Drosophila melanogaster: one gene and its partner. The protein of the gene in region 2 interacts with the protein of the main gene of each other region in a biochemical or structural test. Each region holds a gene or a part of one and is shown on either strand. Other genes may lie near its edges.

What was found.
Region 1: the proteins of DIP-theta (region 2) and dpr4 form a complex in vitro, tested with the Drosophila melanogaster proteins (one study listed by BioGRID).

The regions. Positions count from the first base shown.
Region 1 is NT_033777.3:11,539,532-11,546,764, forward strand, and holds the start of dpr4 (defective proboscis extension response 4), read right to left. Parts: upstream 3,419-7,233; 5' UTR 2,536-3,418; intron 571-2,535; 5' UTR 449-570; coding exon 376-448; intron 1-375.
Region 2 is NT_033779.5:5,654,488-5,661,720, reverse strand, and holds the start of DIP-theta (Dpr-interacting protein theta), read left to right. Parts: upstream 1-3,160; 5' UTR 3,161-3,326; intron 3,327-7,233.

The DNA.
Region 1 (7,233 bases), on a different chromosome or scaffold from region 2:
ATCGGTTCTTGTCATCAGTGTCAATGGGCTTAATTAAAATAGATGTGCAATCGACCATTGACACATTGACAAATTCGAATGATCTTGAATGCTTAAATAGCATATTTAACTTTAATTTCCGCTTGCTGATATAAACTACTTTAGTTGTTAATAAACTTATAGGAACATAGTAATACCTCTTTTATTACAAAATGAATAGGACAGTGAAGAGCACTTAAAAGCCTGTACATTTTTAAACTAACTACATTCACTCTCAGCGATTTATGAGGCTATAAACCGTCTGCGGCTTTGATCCTTTTTCCTTTTGCATTGCCTATTACTGAACAGATTACACCTACATTTTTTCGCCGTGCAATTTCATGGAGGAATACCCACCGAGGAAGAGGAGCAGCCACAGCGGCACCAAGCAAATCGCTTTCAACGCTCTCGGGCAGTCCGTTGTCCACATGTTTTATGCTCTCCACTCGGACTGCTACTACGGCTGCTAGCTACTTCGATGAGGGCGATGAGGAATCCTCCGCTCCTGCCGGCTGTTGTATTTGCTCCGTTTACGGTTTAAGGTTTAATAATCTGCAAAGGAGGAAATATTATTACCAGGGCTCTTTTTTATGGTACCAGTGGCGAAGGACACGCCTGGAAAATAACTGGGGGAATGGCAAAGTAATTTGCCGGGCAAATGATGAAAGCCAGATATATATCCGGAATATGATGGGGGGCGGTTACTACTGGGCGGAGTGGGTCAAGTCAATATGGCATTCTCGTCGGCCGGAAAATTGCCTACCCATCACGGCAATTGTTTAGTACAGTGCGTTTCATTACTCCGAGATGGCCAAACGATTGAATAATAACAATAAACTTAATATATATATATATACATGTGCCACAATTTAGCCATAATACAGCGTTAAATATTAAATGAGCAATGAATAATAAAGTAAAATTCATGCAAATTATATGATTATTCGATATAATTCAAACAAAATTACAAAATTCAGTTGCTAGTTTTCCATTCAAAACCAACTATTAAGAATATTTTTCCCACAACTACGCACTGCAATTACGCACGGCAAAATATTCAATTAAAGCTGAAACAAAATTGGCTTGTTTATTGAAAAAAGTGCAACCATTCTATGGCTATCTAATTTAATTAATATAGAAACGAGTTGAAATTAGCTTTATAACTGGGTCAGCAAATTACTGGTTGCCTGGCAAATGGCAGCTGCGTTTTCCTATTGCCAAGAATATATAATTATATTATATATATTACGAGCCAAAATATCCCAAACAGATTCAATCGAACCAATTGCGCACACCATTATGCTGTGGATCTCTTCCAGAATCCAACAATTAAGCATAAATTATTGATTCAAGGCGACTTATGTGTGCATATTTATGGACCTCACTGCACCACAATTCCAATTAACAGAACAAGAGCCATCGCAGGCCAGTGTAATGGGAAATGGGAAACGGTTGTGCTGAATGTCGGGTTAATGAGGTTAATGCCGGATGTAGCCTGAGCTTTTGGTTTCGACTTGGTTGCCAGGGCAAGAAAATGCGTTTCAGATTCGCCACAGAAAATGCATTCATGGTCGTTGGTGGGGGGGGGGGGATTACTTTCCACGACCCAAAAGCAGGGAGTCAGTCATATTGCATTGCAATGTGGGTAAAGCAATTACAAGGGGAACTCAAAAGGATGGTGTGTGAGGGAGGTGGAGGGGGTATACCCCCGCACCGAATGGAAAACTAAGGCAAAAGTCGAAAACTTCGTGAAGGATGAAATTAAAAAGTTTCCCCAAGCTGAGCTCCTGGCTAAACGACCTTGTCAACTATATAGTTTTATCGGGATAAACTCGATATTGCTTTCACAGACTTCCTTTCCCAGTCGACTTCCCTTTGGCGAATTTGTCAGTCTGGTGCCAGGATACCCCCGAGTCCTCGTCGTGGGTGTCCCTCTCATTATTTATGACTCAAACTCGGTAATCAGTCAGCTCGTGGCGAAAGGGGGCAGTAAGGGTAGGGTCCTAGAGCGGTCTTTCATAATCCCGGTCATTACTCAAAAATATACATTTGTTGTCAGTCCAATTAGCTGCGTGACTCCAAGGGTCAGCAGTCCGCTCCTAGGACCAAGCCATTTGTTTTGGTCACTTTTGGCCTTTCGGCCGACGGCTTTTCGGTTGCCTGGTGCCTGGTTTTCCTTGTTTTTTTTTCCCGGGAATATAATAATAAAAGAGGTTGGCACGGCGGGCTTCATTTTTTCGCAGCTATTACAGCGGAATTATCGCCTAGCCGAACAGTTCCCCGTATGCCGGCGCCCTTTCGACTCTCCATGGAAATTAAACAAAAGTTTTTTGTTTTGCGTTGCCTGCCCGGGAACAACATTATTCTGTTGTTCTTTTGCCTAACTTTTCAGGCCTGTCAAACGGAAACGGCGGACAAAGGGCAACCGCAGTTTGGCCAGTCAGCCAGGACCCTATTTATTGTTTGTTTTTCCCCAGCTCGTCCTTGTGCCGCATTAAATTAAATTCCTTCACTTACGGGTCTCGGCAATGACTTCCAAATGACACCACCGTCATCCTCTGCGTAATCCAAACGGGCAAAATCCTTGAGCTCTGTGATTTTACAACTGCGTTACACTCGATCTTGGCTTTGACATTCGGTTGCGCAATGCGCAATAATTAGGCGGGCCTGCTGGCATGGCTCATTCAACAGTTGCACAATAACGATTGGCATTCAACAATGCCGCAACAATTCACCAACGTCACAGTTCACCAATCAATTCGGTTCAACAATGGTCAAAAAAGTGGCCCAATCGCAAACACAGGTTTATTTCTGGTCTGGCTTACTGGCTTACTTAATAGCGCGGATTTCGAAAATATATCCGTTCGGCGGAAGTGGACACATGGACACATGGATCCACGGACACGCACGCACACGATGACAGCGAGTTGAGCGACAAGGACGTGTGCTTTGTATTATTATATTCGTTTAGTCGGCAAAGTGCGTATGTGTATGTTGGCCACATTAGGTGCCAGCCAGAGCCCTATAGGTATGCACACTTACACTGAGACAGAGGGAAGCACACAGACACAGTCACAGTTACTGACGCACACACACACAAGTTCGAAGGATACGCGGAGAGAGGCATTTTGTGTATCCGTCTCAGAACGTGACCAACGATGGGTCCGTGGGATTTAGTTATTAAACGGCTTTTGGCTTCTGCCTTCACTTCATTCCTTCGTCTGTTTTCATTTTTAAATGTGGCACAATGCTATGTGGCGATGGTGTTGCTGCTCCTGCTGCTTCTGCTAGCACTTTCCCTTTTCCCGGTGCTTCCCTTCCCGTATGAGTGATTTATCCGACGGCAACAACGGAGCAGCGTTCACGGGCATCCTTGCATCAGGATTCGCGTGCTGGAACTGATTTCGATTCCATCTCGGCGAGCGCAAGGAACTTGCACCGCGACTCCGAATCGCGAGACTCCGAAAGGTGCTCTCCCACGCAGGCGCACGACAAAAAGGACCTCTGTGGATGCGAGAGGATTTCCCCGAAAGTCAGAGCATATCAAATATTAATTCGCCATCCATTTGATGTCGCTTTCTTTGCATGCCTGATGAGCGGTTTTATTTTAAGGCAAGGGTTTATTTTCTTTTCTTTATTTCGTCGCTTTCCGTTTTTCAACACGACTCGGTCGTACTTTGGTTTTCCAGCTAACCACCAAGCCGGATCGTTTTGCTCTCCATCCTTCCTCCGTCGCAGTCTCTCTTTCTCCCTCGCTCTCTCTCTCTCTCTCTCTCTTGGGCTTTCGCCATCTGTACTATCTGGGTTATTAGCACAACCTGCCTCAATGCGAGACCGACTGGTAACAGTCGTGCCGAATCGAAATCCGAGTGGTGGAAATCGTGGCCAGACGAACCTAATATGCTCCATAGTCACGTACAAATGAATATTCGTAGTAGAGACGCCTTCGTTTTGGCATATTAATATAGTCTACATTTCGGGGCACAGGCAACCCGCACTTTTTTGTGTCTTTCTCGCACATGAATGATTTACACCCGGGCCATGTAAATGTGATTTTTACCGCAATATATAGGTATTGGTTTAGCCATAGGTATAGCCATGGGAATCCTTTTAGTTTATACGCCATCGAACCGTACCGCACCCATCGCCCCCTCCATTCGCGCAAAAACAATTGAACAGACAGTTATAGGCCAATTTCAGTTTATGTCCATGCGTCGCACTCGAGAGAGATTTGTGTGGCTTCGTTAAGGGACTAGAAAACGTGGTATAGGCTGTAGGCTAAAAGCGCTATAAGGGCTATAAGAGGGTTTAAGGGGCTTATGGGGTCTATGGGTGTTTGGGGGTACGACCAACACCTGTACCTCGTCGTCGTTGCTGCGCCGACCATGTCAAATGTTGCGTGTTATGGCCACAAATGTGGCTGTCGAAAGCGTAGCCACCCCCCAACCTCCCTCTCAACCATCCTTCCCCAGTACACCCGCAAGTACACCCACTACCCCCGCAACCCATCCGTATTCAGAAAACTCGGAACGGGCATTTCAACGCATGCCTTACGAGCTCATAAATAAAATGCCCACCCAGTCGAAGGCCGATAAAGTCGAGTGTGCTTGACTGGGGAATGCCCTGTAGGCCTCAAAACATCGCAATGCAAATGAGCACGGCGCCGGCGAAAGAGACAGACGCACTCAAACGGACAGAGATAGGTGGCTGGCGAGCGAATGAGATAGCAATGTAGAGAAACAGCGAGCCAATGCAACAGAAAATTGACAGACAATGGCCCTGTAATTGACACGCCACCTAGCGGCCATTACGAATGATTAAAGTTGTTTTGACCCTCCCAATTGTGCGTGTGTGTGTGTGTGTGAGTGTGTGTTGCCACGAGTTGACATTTGATTATAGAATTCCATTACCAAACAATTGAAATGGGAATACATCGAGTTGACCAGAACGGAGGCAGAGCCGCACTAAGCAGTTTACAATTTCTATAATTAAGTTAGCACGCAATCAGGTCAAACGGAACACAGGAAGAAGCGATCTGGATAATTATAGAATTATGATTTAATATCAAATCTGATAATAATCAGTTGGATTAGGCGAACTCTTTGAGATACTATTACAAATTGAGTTTTTAAGGCGATTAAAAAAAGGCATCAAATCTTTGAATTTTATGGCCATGATCCTATAACTTACTGAAGATATTGCATAAGCATACCGCGATCAAATATAAGGAGTCTACAGTTCATTAAATCCTCACTCTACTCGGTAGCAGACTTATATTGACTCCAGTGCGATACTTAACGCTTGCTGGGCCATTCAAGAAATCAAATTAGTGGAGCAATCTATCCACCCCCTTGGATGCCCACACCCATGGCCTATGGCCATAGGCCCCACCCGCTGAGATCCTATCTGTTCACCTTTTCGCCAGCGAATTTATTGTTGCCAATTAATTTGTTAAAATTAGTGGAGCAGGCCTTGTCGTTGCCCGTGCATTGTGGTAGTTTCAATTGCCAGCTCCACGGGAGATGGGGTTTTTTCTTTCCAGGATTGGGAGAGGGATGGTGGGTAGGGGGTGTTAGAATGGAGCTATGTCTTCAACTGCTTATCGATAAGCGAAAGTGGGCATGGCCCCCAGACGTCGTCGCCCGTGAAATGTATGCCACGTACACGTATTTATCCATTGCTTAGCTCGCCGATGCCATTTATTGCTCACTGGGAAAAAGGGGAGAAGGGTGAAGACGGAAGGGGGGAGGAGCTGTCCCAGGGGCGGGGCCAATTGGGGTGCTGAAGGGGGGATTGCAGGGGCTTCCGCTGCCTTGAATGAATGCTAAATTAATTTCAAATGAATACAAATGGCTTTTCGCTTTTAAGACCAGACCCAAGCAGTGCCAAGAAGCGCAGAGCGCAGCAATAAACTCCCCCATCACACAGCCAAAAAAAAAATCGACGGCTTTCTGCTAAAAAGGACCCTTGGATTTTAAAAGTATATTCCGCTTGGCCATTTGAAAGTATTTTATTGCAGTCAAAGCGCTTTTATTAGTAAGTAAATCCCGGATTTCCAATTAGCCCCAAGAGCAACTATGCAAATGCATGAATGAAGGATTTCCAAATAATATATTTATTGTAGAAATATAGAAATATATATATGACTGGGCAAGTTCAAATAAATAAATACAAATAAATCAAATTCAAATTATTACCGTGTCAGAAGTGAAAAAAAAAAAACAGATCTGATGCCATTTTTGTTTACTTAGCAACTGAAATATGAGTGAAATATACAAGCATTTTTCAACGCCCGAGGAACAAACATTAAAATGTGTCAAAGGAAAAGCGAGATGGAATATATCAAAATTATTTAATTATTTGAAAAAGGATAAATTTATAGGAAAACAGCCTGGGCAAACCAATTAAATCTGTAAAATATAAGTAATCCTCTCAATCAGCACATTTCAAAATGGTCATAAATTGTCGAAAAGGAAGGTCCAATTCATATATGCACTTTTTTTCCCATTCATATCAATCATATTTAAATATGTGATATCATACATTTGTTATTTACGACTTCAGGTCGGAGTTATTTTGTTCAGTAAACTAAAATACATTTGACGTTCCATTGAAGCTGGTTTTATTTGAAATATCAAGCAAATGGCATGGAAATATGCAGGTAAATACGAAACACAATCAAGACAGGCAGATACATTTTGTAGCTACTCCTTTTCTTAAGGATATTTTGTATCAAAGAATTTATTGAAGGACTCACTACTATTTTCTCCCAGTGCCAAACTGAGTCGTTTTGTCTGTCCCTGTCTGCTTTACATTTCTTGTTTCGTTGAAATAACTCTACGTCTGGGTCTTCTGTTGGCCGTGTGGGTGCTGCCTCCTCCTCCTGGCCACCACTTCTCGCCCAGATCCTCCTCCGATGCCGATTCTGATTCGTCTACCGGGCAGAAACGTTCCGAGGGCCTCCATGTCGAGTTTATCAGATGCAGTGGTGGAAATTTACAACGCCACAGTCCGGACCAGACAACGTGGCCGTTAATTCAATTCAGCGTAAGCCTCTTGGAGCCCAGATACCCCGGAACCCCGGAACCCTGGAAGCCCGGAACCCCTTACTATACCTTACCACCGTTTGGGGCTATTATCCAATAACTAGAGAAAGCGGCTAATCGCGTGAATAGTTTGGGCGGCGTAATTGATGTTTACGGCAAAAACCCATGC
Region 2 (7,233 bases):
AGCGTGGGCATCAGCAAAATTAACTGCAGTCAGGTGGGTATCCTTGGACAAAGCTCCGCTCAATTGGTGAGGAGGAAGCTGCTGTTGTTGTGGCTATTGCATCCACCGCGTGATGCCAGCTAATGAAAATGACCGCCACAGATGACTGTGCTATTATGGCTAGAGCGGGGAATGGCGAATCAAAAATGGAAAGGTCCTGGGCTTACTTTCGCTCATCAATAAGCTCCATTACGTATACGCCGGGTTGGTTTCGCCCATTGCTCAGCCGACAAACAAACTCAGAGCTGTCTGTCAACCAAGTAAGGGGCTGCATTCGACCTCTGCCAATTGAGCGTTTGCGAATTTGTTTGCGCCATGGACCCCAGCATCTCAGTGCAATCAGGCGGAATATATCCCGCTTTGAGCTGGCTGCTTTTGGAATGATAGAAAGTGTTGCCTTCAAGGGAGCCTCAGTTCCTTTCTCTGCATCGTGAATTCTTTTTTCCAGCCCCCTGCTTTGCATACGCGCCACCCACTGGGCTCTTTGGTGGCCTTATTAAGTTGGCGCCTCTATGCAACTGCCATCAGCCGGGAAAGTTTTTCGCATACCTTCGATGGTCTCGGTCCTTTTTATACGCGGTATATTACCCAGTTAGCTGAATATTCTTGAGTTATATACGAAAATAATAAGAAGCAAACATGATTTATCTCAGATATTTCTGGATGTATTGTCTCAATGCGTTACTGCTGTATTTTTTTGCACTTCAACTACAATTATTTTGATATCACTTTCATACAAGCAAGTAAGACTCATTCTGATTTGTTTAGCCAATTGGGTCGATTGAGCAGGGTAACTTTTGATCGACTCCAGTTGAAAGCTCTTCTACATATTTTCACTCGCTCCAGTTTGTTGGGGTTGTCATCGTTGCAACTTCATTGTCAAAGTTGGCAAAGAGTCTTGAAGGGAAAGTTGGAGTGGGAAACTACAAAGAAATGCACAAAAACTGCGTTGTGCAAATACGGAGAACGAGAGTGGCGAAAAACGATGCAACGGTCTGCCAGTTGGGCGCTAATTATATGTAAATAGCTGGAATGAAACCGCCGCTCGAGGTGCCAGATAATTGGCCCTCATGCAACTGCCAAGTATAGTTTACAGCCGAAGTGATCAAGGGAAACAGTCTGCGAAGGAAAAATGCTCAAATTGTCGAGGCGTGAAGGACGACTCTTCTTTACGGTAAAGCTTTTGGCATGACCCCTTAGGAAGAATTAGAGAAATTTAAATGTGGCTACTTTGAGTGCCAAGGACTGTGCCCTAACTTGTTACTTAACGTGTCCTAGGCAATGACTGTTAGCTTAATTTACGGAAACTTAAATGGTACGCAATGCAATAGCAATTAGCTCAAATGCTAGATGAAATTCCTTTGCATTTAGGTCATTAGAGAAGAAAAATTTCATAACACTTCTCGGTGTGCGTGAGAAGGCATTTTCCCCCTTGGCCACTTCTTCTCCCCGGAGACAACATTCAGGACATAGAACAGCATTACAAAATTTCCCCAAAAAATTCGTAGAAATGCCAAAATAAACGAGTGGGATCGCTGGAATGAGATGGCGCAAGGTAAGGATGTGGAGGATGCTACCCACATGAGCGACAGTAACCAACACGTACAAAACGCATAAACATTCTTGCCTAAGTGAGTTTGTACATAAATTTCGAGCAACTTGCGTTGCAGGATGCGTTACAAGGAGACGATTTTGTGTGGGTCTCAGGATCTGTTTAAAGGGAATGAAGGGGGAGACTGTAGCAGTCTACTGTGAGTAGAGCTAAACTTACGCAAAAATCCATGGGAAACCAAGTGAGTTTTGAAGTTTAGACGGTTGGCTCAGTTTCGGTATCCTAATTTATTTATGCAGCCCCTGGCAAATGCAACTTTACTTAGGATGGATATCACTCAGCTATTCATCGTGTTAGCGTCAGTGCTTATTCGAAGGTATTCAGATGCAATTGTTTTATGTTCGAAAAATATCTTAACACTAAAAAATTTGTGCTACTAGCGTTTACTTTTCACCTTTGAATTTAGAAGAAAGCTAAGAATTTATGAAGATTTCCTACCAAATAACTAAATAGCATTTATTATTTTTATGACATCAAATTTTTAACTACCCAACTATTTAATACCAATTACCGACTACTGGTGTGTGCAACTTGAAAGCTGGAATTGAAATTATTCAACGAATCATGGCAATATCATTGGCTGTTTGCATTATGCAAGCATACCCGGTCCTTTGATGCTTGATGGCATTTCCCGAGCACCTACACACACGCAGCCGGAAAAGAAGCAACTTTAGTAGCATATTTCACGGCGCTGCGTCCGAAGAGAGAACGCTCTAAAGAGCACCGCTTGCCGAAGAGAGAAGCCTTGGGTAAGAGAGACCGAAGCGCACATTACTGACCTACATTAAGTAAAAATTTATTTATGCCGGCTGCCAAATTGGTTCCCCAAAGCATTGGCAGGCCCCGCTGTCCCCTGGTCCCTGGCTTTATGACTATGACGGATATGATTGTTGGTCGGAGTTTCCCTTTCCCCTCCTCGTACTTGCCCACTATTACTGCCTTTGTGGTTGTTGGCTTAAATAATAATGGCTTGTAATTTGCATAAATAATGTTTGATTTTTGCATTGATGAGGGAAGAGTGTGTTCCGCGTGTGTGTGTGTATTTGGGGAATTTTAAATGATTGAAAGCTCGGTCATCATTGGGGAATGCCGGGCTAGATGGCACGAAATTTTTGCATTTAAATCGATAAATTAGTGGAAAGAGCTCTAAAAATCAGTATGCCAGGATATGAGTCGTTTGGTCTATTTGGAAGTTGCATTGTAGATTTAAGCCCACCAAATAGGAAGAATAGTTTGCTGCTATAAGGGTCGACTTCGATGCCCCAACAATGGTTTCTTATCCTGCCACAGCACTGTTAACCAGCTAACAGAGCTCTGGCTCTGTTGCTCTCTAACGGGACCTGGTTCTCTTTGCCTTTGGAGTTCGGCTCGCTTCGGCAAGTTCGCGAGTGCTTGCCGAACTCCACGAACTCCGAGCCGAAGAGCGCTCGGTAGTCGACAGTCGTGACGAATGACGGCGATTATCGCCCTTCGAGGACTTTGTGTAATCAGTGCGTCCTGCTAAGCAAATTAGTTTAGTATGGTTTTAGTGCGCAACGCTGACGGTCGCACCAGTTCGCAGCTCTTAACACGTTGGTGTCGAAAGTCGACGCGCTCGCGTTTCGTCCCTCGCTTGAATTGAATGCCGCGAGTCGCGAGTGCCTGCGATATCATCGGAGGACAATAGCTCAGCACTGTACGTAAGCGGAAGGAATGGCCAGAATTAAATAAATAAATAAGTGCAAGACACAACCGGAGACGCTGGCTGCCAACTTCAATTTGGTACTTCATTTTTCACAGCCCGCTTAACGCAAATTGTGCCGGTCCTGGCTCCTTGCTGGGTACTAAGGTCCTGGTGCATACCCGTGCATTCTCCGCTCCCCTCCCCTGTTGATTGCATTCTTGGCGGCAAGTCGAGCGTGGCTCATTAAATGGCTGGCGAAAAAAAATGAAAGAGGAGTGCCGACTTGCGGAAAAACAATCACAGCATTTCTCTCGGCTGGTAGAGCCTGCAAACGGCATTTATAGAAGGGCCCTAGCGGCGCTGGGAAATTGTGGTATTTTATTCGTTATTTCACTTTGACTGTCACGCCAATTGAATTAATTCCACCGAGGAATTTAGGATTTAATTTGACATTTAATTATTGCAATTAAAAGTGGCCCGCAAAGCGCAGCATCAACAAAAAATGTCGTTTCAAAACAGGATTATGATCAAACAGAACGCAACGAAATTATGAAATTTTGTTTGAAAAAAAATGAATTACTTTCGAAAGTGGTTGACAACATAAAGCCGTGTCACATTACAGCAGCGGTTTGTTATAAAACGCGTAATAAATCTAAGAAAAAAGGAAAAAAGCTTTTATATTGATGAAAGGAAAACTTAAACAACAGGGTCAGAAAAACAATTATTGTATACAATAAAGGTTAACATTAATGGCAAAAGGATACATATATATATATATTTATATATATATATTTGGTTTTTATGCCTTAATAACTTGTTAGCTCTGCCCAATTCTATGATTTGAAACCCCTAGGATATTTTGTCTTTGTATTTTGTATATTAGTATCCTAAAATATCCTTCTCGTTATCAACATAAACAAAATAGCGATTTATTATTATTACAATTCCTTTGACTTCTAGCATTGCCATTGCTAGCTAAAAATATTCAAGCCTGAATGATGTGCTTAACAAATTAAGTTCCATGCAACATGATTTCTTAAGCAACGTTTATCCTTTATTATATGCATTCACTACTTTCGTATATACACATATAATTCAGAAAAGTTTGCGAAACGTCGAATACTTGGTATCAGCAAACTTTTTTGATAACTTTACTTCACTTGTAGCCCGAAAACAGTTTGAAGTGCAGGACGAAAATCACCCAAGGACGAGCTTTAACTAAATTATTGGGAGCTCGCGTCAAGTGTCAGACTTTGGGGGGGAAAATGGAATAACAGTTTGCCTTTGTTGTGTCTACAAATTTGTGGGGCGCTGTTCGTCAGCGCTAATGAATAGGTGGGGAGTTTTGTGCACAATTATCAAATAAAACGGGTAGCCGACCGCACAATTACACACAATATTTTCGCACACGCACCCAAAACGGAAGCCGTATAAACAACATGAATATGAAATTTAGCTGCTAGAAGCATATACATGCACATACATACTATAGATGCACAGCTCGTTGTGGATGGCCGTCCAATAAGCGACATAAAATATGCGAGCACTCACACACACTAGCGCACGCGAGCGAACACTAACACATGCATATGCACATGCGGATGAAGCGCCCGCAGCGAGTGCGGGAAATATTTTATGCACTTTATGCGGCCTGGACGGCGCTTGCTGCTGGGGATCGCTAATTAGGCAATATGCACTTGATTGTGTTATAATCATTAAAACCGGAAATGCATGGCCAACCCACAAAACACAAACGAGCGCAAACGCTTGGCCACACACACACGCGCACACATACGAATATGCGTGAATGCTTTCAGGTGGCTGCAATAGTTCACAGCATACTTTCGCACAGGGCCAAAAAGTGTTTTACCAAAGTTTCGAAATTTCATCACAAGAGTAAATGGGGTCGGTCTCACCATCCTGTCCGATTTTGTTAGTTTCCCATTTCACTCTGATTAATTATTTGGTGAAAAATAATTAAGTCTTTGAGGGGCTGGCAAGGCGTCGGAAAAGCAGCTCGTTCTCCCACAAAATGACGGAAAGTCACATCAATGGCTCGGCGGAAACGGAAGTGCGGGAAAGCAAACACGTGTCGGAAAAATGTCTGCTTGCAACAATGTGTGCTCGTACAAGTATATGTGTGCCAATGCACTTCCGCACACCCACACACCCGCACAGCAGGCGCCCATGTTGCATATGTAAAGCGGCTTGTAAGCTGGCCAATTTTTTATGCATTTATGCATTTTCCCCCGCTGCAGCTGCATCCCGTCCCCCGCTGACCGTTTTTTTTATTAAAGTTGCCCGTTAAGAAAAGCCCAGAAACCGCAGCAACAAACAGGAACGCCCACTGTGCGAACTGCATCGCACGTCCAAACGCCTTTTTGTAGGTTAATCAAATGCAAGACGGGGAAAATGCACAAGCTGCATGTCAGTGGGAAATGCTGCTTGTGGCTAGTTAGTGTGAGCGGGCGTTGGAGCAAGCATTTTGCCATCTTTTTGTGTACGCATTTCGCATGGCTTGTTATATTAAAAGAAATTTCCCAGCTGAGAAGAGACAAGGCAAGGAAAAACAAGCAAGCATCATGGCAACTGACAGCCAAGATGGACGGCTCTGTGATTTGATTTTTATTTCGAGCGATGCACAACAGCAGCTGGCAGTCAGTGGACAGATGAATTATGGCAAATGATGTAAACGCTCCCAGTGGATGTGGCTCTAATTAAACCGAGGGCCAAGAAGCACTCATAGCCCAAGTACTCATTTTCTCCTTTTACAATAGATAAATGACGTTTCGCAATTTCTCAAAAGTTTCGACTACCCTTGCTGGTTGCCTAAAACCAGAAAAAAATATTTCCTTTACTTGCATATTTATTGATTTTCAAGCCACAAGAATTTTTCGTAACGAATAGCTGTAAGTCTTCATAATAGGATGACCAAGAAATGTCGCGTCGAAAAGATAAATATTCCAATTCATCTGCAATCCGAGCAGATTTTGATTGGCACCAAACGCTATAAAAGTTTAAGCTTAATTTAATACATTTTCTGCATATTACCAGCGACAGTCACCAAGCTGCAAAAAAAAAGGAAAAGCACAAAATCCCCACCACCATTTCAGGTGACATAAACAAGCCTTTTATTTGGCATTCTGCTGCAGTTTTTGACACGCGAAAGTAGCAAAACGCTTTCAAAAAGAGAATGTCAAATAAAACACGGAAAGAATGCGGATAAGAGGAAAATTCACAAAGAAAAGAAATTGAGGAAAATATGGATGCAGACGGAACTGAGCGAAAAACTAGCTTTGGGTATATGTATATTAAGCACGAAAAGCTGTCACTCGCGATTGTCTCGACTATTGGATACCTACTTTTTTGTTAGCTTATTGGCGAATAACTTATTAATTCTTATGCGTTTCACAAGTAGCATAAGTACAATAGCAATACTAAACTGGATTTTCCTGTCTCAGTGCTGGCAAAGCTTAATATGATGGGTATGCTTAAATATGCATTGCAAAAATGTAAGCTGCTTTCATTATACCTTTTATACCCTTTGCACAATATACCCCACTCTTTACGATTGGCGGGCACAAAAATGCAGAGTCCAGAGGGAGATATCATTTATTATTTCATTTCCGAAGCAAGACAGCGCAAAAGCCCGAGACAGCAGGAATGCCGTGGATTAGCAACTGTCATTGACAGTTGGAAATCATAGACGCCATTTGGCTGGCTGCAAATTGCTGGCCGCATTTCTTTGTTTGTCATTTAACGATTGACAGCTGGCGATAAACAGAACGAAACAAAACGAGACGGTTCGGGGACTTGGCCAAAACAAAGGCTGCCACACAACGAGCCAAATGAGAACGGTGGAAGGTAAGGCGACTGCCGCCAGCCATCAAATGGAAATGTTAATGACGCATCTCATCGA